Linked DNA regions of Mus musculus: region 1 is reported to be linked to region 2. Evidence: microRNA targets listed by miRTarBase, many of them from high-throughput screens and not tested one by one. Region 2 holds a microRNA gene; the other region holds the end of a gene's coding sequence.
What was found. Region 2 holds the annotated microRNA mmu-miR-3088-3p (UUCAUGAGCAGCUGCAAAGGUGU, at 2,191-2,213, opposite strand). A microRNA usually pairs through its seed, bases 2 to 8, with sites in the 3' UTR of a target mRNA and lowers its output. Matches are read on the target gene's strand: a 7mer-m8 pairs with bases 2 to 8, a 7mer-A1 pairs with bases 2 to 7 and ends in A, and an 8mer does both.

Region 1: miRTarBase lists Scoc as a target of mmu-miR-3088-3p. Seed matches in the 3' UTR shown: 7mer-A1 at 1,724-1,730.

What each region holds. Positions count from the first base shown.
Region 1 is chr8:83,433,184-83,436,593 of GRCm38, forward strand. Scoc (short coiled-coil protein) reads right to left here. Exons shown (of 4, transcript NM_019708.4): 4 at 1,309-2,857. The coding sequence ends at 2,715. Among named protein-coding and RNA genes, the nearest start is that of Scoc, 7.8 kb to the right of the region's middle.
Region 2 is chr2:28,732,124-28,735,533 of GRCm38, reverse strand. Mir3088 (microRNA 3088) reads right to left here and starts at 2,256; the gene lies at 2,183-2,256. It overlaps Ak8 (adenylate kinase 8), which reads right to left. Exons shown (of 13, transcript NM_001033874.2): 6 at 1,646-1,727; 7 at 1,089-1,160; 8 at 1-31.

The DNA.
Region 1 (3,410 bases), not on the chromosome of region 2:
AGCCCACTCTACCAAAGTGTTGCAACTGGTGAGGGGCAGGGCTAGCTCTCCAGCTCTGCAGACCCCAGGGCCAGCTCTCCCACCTGCATTTCAGTGGGCCCTAAGGTAGTTGCCTCTGTTACAGAGTCAAGTCCTAGAGAAAAAAAGCTTGAGTCAGGGCTAGAAGAAAGTTTGACTGTCCCTGACACACAGACTGAGAGTACAAAGATAAAAGGTTTCAAAGCAAGATGGCTCAAGCTAGGGTACAGTCCAACTACATGAGCTTGGTCCCCAGAACTCACATGGTGGGAAATAGGACAGACTCTTGTAGGCTGTCCTCTAACCTCAGTGCATATAGCAAACAGATGGAAGAGATGTAAACTAGGTAAAAGGCTTCAGTTTTTTTGTTTGAGAACGCTATACTAGCCAAAACAAAACAAAACAAAACCCTTGAGCTTGACTTAAAATAAGGGGCACCAAGCTCTTGCCAACAACTGGACGGTTTTCTCAACCTTAGGGGTGGAGGTGGGGTGGGTATGGAATAACTTTGAAGGGGAAAGCCACAAAAGCTAGTGAGAAAGGAAAGCCTTGGTCAGAGTCAGGGTCTATATCCAGGGACTTGTGTCCAAGTTCCATTCCACCACTGCCTCAGATCTAAGTGTCTCTACTCCACATCGCACACTGAGAGCTTTCTACTTGGCTATCCTGTCCCATAATACTCTAGACCAGGGAAAAAGTGAGAACAGATAAACTGAGGGACCTCAAGGGAGATCTTGGATTTTAAGCTCAATCCTTAGCTGGATTGGGGCACGGAGGTGGGGTGCTGGAATGCTTTCTCTGTGAGGAAACATAGTTCCAGAGACTTTGTAGCAAGAGATCAAGCTGTGGCTAGGACTGCTAGGACAAGTCCTTCACTTCCTCCCACATGGAAGAAATCACACTGCTCAGCCAATCCGAGGCTTTGGATGTAAAGAGGCCTGGACCATTTCAAGACAGAACTCTTCATACCTAGATTCTGGGCACTCACAAACTCTTTCCTGTAAATAGAATGAATAGTGTAACTGATGATGCAGAAGCCATGACAGAACAATCTATGCAGCAGAGCCCTCTAGCCTGGGAACAAGTGAGGGGAAGGAGCCTAACCCTAAGCCAGCCCCCTTCCCTAGAACTTCAATAAAGGGTAAGCTTCTGCAACACTGTGCTACTAAAGACTGCCCTGTAGCAGTCTTGGGTGCTTAAATAAGATACACTATTACAATGTGATACTGCAAACCCTGGATACCCAATGCACATGTACTTAGCAAGTGTATCAAAACACACACACACACAAAACCTCTGAAACAGCTTTTTATTAAACAGCAAAGCAGAACTTGAACACAATTTTAAATATCTGTAACAAGGTCACAAAAGGGTTGCAAAATGTCTGCAATGTGAGGATTACACATCCATATAGCTAACGTCACTCATCAAGGCTTACATTAATACATTAGATAATTCCACAAGTCAAAGCAGCCCAGCCTAAGAGCCACCAGCTGCATTAGTGGATCTTTCCTATTATAAGACTTCACTATTATTTCTGATATCAGCTCCTTATCAAATGGAAGCTACAAACTAAATTTTTAAAATTTGTTAAAAGAATGACTAAAATTCTGCAAACTAAGTAGTTGAGTTTACAGAAATTCTGGGAAAACAACTGAGATAAAATACCGAGGTTAATAATTATCACATATACAAAACTCTTATATTCATGATTCTGATATTAATATACTCTCAATTAATTTTGCAAAAGTTCATTTCCTGGGTACAAATAAACTTTGAGACCAAACTCTTAACTAGTCTCTCTTAATCCACTTACATTAGACTCAGTCCACTTTCATATATGTCCCCAAAGTGCAGCTGTGGGCCAGAGGTAATACACATTTAGAGGGAAAACACTGCGAGCTGGTTATTTCTGTTAATCCAGTTTTCCTTCTTATTCCTATCTTTTCTCAAGTTTTTTGTTTGTTTGTTGTTTTTTAATTTCTCACACACATATGACCAGCATTCCTATCTTTTCAACACCAAATGAACTATTTTATGCAATAGGGAGTTTTTAGCTTCTCAGTGTGGCAGTTTACATTTCAAAGAAAACTCTTCATTTTCTATAGCTTCAATCTACTTTCGATTGATTAAAGAGAAACCAGCAATCCTATCTTATTACTAAATATCACAAACGGCAAGCCTTAGATAAGAAAGTGTCTTATTTTGGTTAAGTGTCAACAATTCTAGTTTAGGTTACTCTTGTAGGAGAAACTGCTGAAGTTACCGTCAGGGAGGGAGATGGGAGAGGCACAAGACGGTGCACAAGGTACAGAAGCTGTGCATTCAGTACATGGTTTTGGTCACTTTTCACAACATGGTTATTTTTTTGTATATTTTACTAGTTAGGCTTATGATAAAAGACAGTGCTAAACCTATATATATATAAGCAAATTGGCAAAACATTCATCTTCAAGTTTCATAAATATCTGTAATTCTAATATAAAGTCTCTACATGTGCACATTTTCATAGACTAACGTATACATATAGCGTTAACTCAGAGATGCTCCTGTTCAGCATTAGTGTTACCTAGATGTGACATTCTCTTTATAAATACTCAGGGAAGAACAAAGATACTCTAACTTTTGGATCATATCCAAGCCTTAAGGGGGAAGAAAAAAAGCAGCAATCCATAGAAGAGAGGGAGGTGAGCCCTTTACTTCCTTTTGCTTTTTGTATCAGTTGTTTGAAAAACACTAGAAGCAGACATGAGGTTTTCTATATATTGTCCGAGAACTTGATTTTCCGACTTTAGCTTCAGATTTTCTTCCTTAACTGCATCTACTCTTGCAGAAAGATCTGTATTCAAAATAAATAAATAAAAATACAATTACCAATAAAAATCATGGCAATGACTCCATGTTACAAATGCAGACCAGGCTGTGGGGTGACTCAGTGCTACAGCCCTTGCCTAGCATGTGTGATACCCTGAATCTGATTCGTAGCACTAACAACAAATAAATATCACAATTTGTAAGTTTTCTGTTTTTTTTTTTTTTTTTAATTCAGGTTATTGGGGGAAAGGCTTAGGTTAAAAAAAAACCTTGTACTGAGTACAAATCAGAAGACGGTGATTGTTAACAGTGTTTGCCATGGGACTCGGGAGTCTGTAGAGAGCATTTCTTTTAACTCTTGAGGTGGTTAAGAAAACATTGCATTTCTAAAGTATGCCTGTCCTCCCACACATAATGGTCATGTCTTTACTGGAAATGTTTAAGATGCAGAGCTTAACACAACTGGATTCCTAAGTTGGATAAAAGATCCAAGCAGCTGATCTTTTTATAGTTTTATATTAGTTAAAAATTCAAGAGATATAGATTCTAATGGACAAATAAAAAATTATGTCCATTCA
Region 2 (3,410 bases):
GGGGGCCAGTCGAAGGTGGTGTGATAGATCTCTGCACCGGGAGAGGCACGGGGTTAGAGAAGCACCCATGGCTGCTGCAGGCTCTGCTGCACTGCCTGCCTGGTGCTGCCCAGGGATGTGGCTGACCATTCCCAGTCAGCAAGTGTCTCACTAACAACGACGACGCATGGATCACATCAGTTGTTACTCATAGCAACAACAAATAATGATGAGGTTGGGGACAGATGTAGCTTAGTTGATAAAGTGTTTGCTTCAAATCCACAAAGCCCTGGGTTCAATTCCCAGCATGGCAAAAACCAGGCGTGATGGAGTCATGGCAACTCTCTCAGACCTAAGGCCAGTATACCATTCCCCCTCCAGAACATTCCGAAGCTGGGGTCCCTCAAGTGCCTCCCTCTTCTTCGGCCTTCTATAATGGAGGCAAGAGGATCAGGAGTTCAAAGTCCTCCTCACCTACATAGCAAGCACAAGGCCAATCTAGACTCCATGACTCAGAGACTCCAGATCACCTCAAGAAAAAACACAGTGGTTCCTCTCAGCCTGGAACTGAGGGCAACCATGGATCTCTGAGTTCTCGCTTTGTGCTAGGCCCTGGATGGGCCCTGCAGACTCAATTCATCCTCACAGAATTTGAGCTTTCACCCCAAGTCCAGAGAAAACCAAGCCCAAGAAAGGCACCTTCCCCTTGTCCCCCAGCCCTGTCGATGTGGCTACTTAAGATCCCATTCACAGCACTCGTAGTTCTTTAGGCAACTCATACACCGTACTCCTCCACACACAGAGCAAGCAACGTGGGGTGCACGGCTTCCCAGGAAGAGGGACACCAGCCCCGCTGAGCAATGTCCCCCGTGCATGAACCTGAGCCCCAAGACCAGCTCTGCAGAGTCTAGCTTCTGGACATAGTCAATACCCAGAGTCCCATTTCCTAAGGACAAGGCTGCCTTCACCCAAGATGACCTCTTCCCCGACTTCTGGGATTTCTGTTTCTGGTGGCTTCTGAGTCTGAGACAACCCCCTGGGTGCCTAGAGTAGACAGTGGGACAGGGGCATTCTCTCCCAGTCTTTGAATCCCTCGGGTGGGGTCGTACCTCCGGTGACAGGGTCGATCCGCTTGCCCACATTTCTCTCGATCAGGACAGTGTCTGGAGCATTAAGCACAACTGGGCAGAGAAGAAAGGAACAAACCAGGTGTGCTGGGATCAGGTGCCACATGCCTGAGTCCTCTGCCATGTGATCACATTCAACCCCACCCCCCCCCATGTTACCCATCTCCCAGATGGCACTAAACCATTCTGAGACCAGTCCATGGTGGGATATGTCCCTGGCCACCAATTTTCACTGTGTAAAATCATAGAGTAGAGGTCTCTGTGATTCAGACCCTGCCACCCTTCCTTCCCTTCGTTTCCTAAAGAGACCCACAGCAGGGACATTCCTTACACGAGGAACCCTGCTTTTCTTACTGACTAGTCCTCAGTAGATTTAGCCTGTCAATGAGGCTGGACTTCACCTAATGTCTTTTCTTGCTGGGTTCCAGGCCCTTGAGACCGTCCTGTGAGCAGTGATTGGGCCCAGGGTAGAGGATGGGCAGTGCCAGCACTAAAGAGCAGTGCATGCTCAGGGCAGCAGGGTCCAGGGGTTTACTCACTGACGTGCTTGGGCGCCAGCCCCAGGGTCTGGATCATCAGAGCCTGCTCCCGCCTCTCAGGGATGCCGTCCAGGATCCAGCCCTAGAGAAACAGTACGGAGAGGCTCTTCACTGTAGGTTTTTACCTTCACTTATTTTGTGCACACATATGTGAGTGGGTGAGTAGTATGTATGCATGTGTGAATGTGTGAGTGTGTGCATGTGAATGTGTGCTGTGTGAGTGTGTACATGTGTGTACTGTGAGTGTGTGCATGTGAATGTGTGCTGTGTGAGTGTGTACATGTGAGTGTGTGCTGTGGGAGTGTGTGCATGTGAGTGTGTGCTGTGGGAGTGCCACAGCACACATGCAGAGGTCAGAGACAATTTTCAAAAGTTAGTCCTTGGATTCTACCCAATGTGGGTCCTGGGGATTGAACTCAGGCCACTGAGATTGACAGCAAGCACCTTTACCCTCTGAGTAGCCCCTGCCTACTTTACATTGTGTTTTAGAAGGTCTAACAAGTGCTGGAATCTTTGAAGCCAAAGAAGTGTTCTTGACAGCAGCAACACCTTTGCAGCTGCTCATGAACCTTCGGAGCCAGAGCTCATGAACAACTGCATAGCAGGCACTGAGGTCCTGGCTTCCCGCAGCCACCGCAGCTACTATCAGCATGTGTCCCTGCCAGCATGGGCCTTCGCCGCCTCTGCTTTTGAAGGTTTATACCACATCCCTAAGTGACTGAGCCATGCTGCCAGCTTTGCCCACAGCTTCACGAATCTGTAAACATTTTTCACCATCTGCGATGGCAACCATCGGTTGCCAATTTGCTTACATCTGGAATGAACTAAATTTTAAAGGAAAATGGAGGGCACATGAGTGAGGGATTTTTGCTAAATCTGAAGTTGAAAGAGCTGCTCCTAATACACAACTCAGAGGTAGGAAGACAGACACGCCTTTAACCTGGACTGAGACACGCCTTTAACCTGGGCTACCTTTTGGCTGGAAGCCTATATAAGGACATGAAAGAATGAAATTTCTCTCTCTCTCTCTCTCTCTCCCCCTCCCCCCTCCCCCTCCCCTCCCCTCTCTCTGCCTGTTTAATTCTCAATCTTTCTAGCAAGTCCATTCCTTCAGCAGCATTAGAGCCTTGTTCAGGAATCTGACATCTACTGAAGATGCTCTGAGTTATGCAGCTTTGTGGATGAAACAACTACTGAACCCTTTGACTTTTCATTCAGTCAGTCACTGCTGGAATAGCTGAACCAGGGCCTGTAAGTCATCCTAAGAAATCCCATATATAGACATCATATTCATATATATATATACATATACACACATATATATATATACACACATATATATATATTTACATATACACTATATACATATATATTCATTCTATAAGTTTTGTTACTCTAGAGAACCCTGACTACACCATCATAAACGTCACTGCAGTGAACATCTTTGGGTGCACAGCCCTTTCACATGTTGAATTTTTTCTGGGATATAAGATTGCTAAGATAAGGGGTCACTAGGTTCAAAGCCAAGCATGGCAGTGCACACTTACAATCCAGTCCCAGCCCTGGAAGGAGGAGACAAGTGCATGGCTGGGGCTGGCTTGACAGACAGCGAGCGACAACTGTCTCACATAACAAAGCGATGCTGTTCCAGAGGAGCCCCTGAGGTACCCCTTGCCTTTACAGGAAATGCACACACGTGCATGCACACATGGACACACAATGTATTAGGGTTCTCTAGAGGAACAAAACTGAAAGAATTCATATA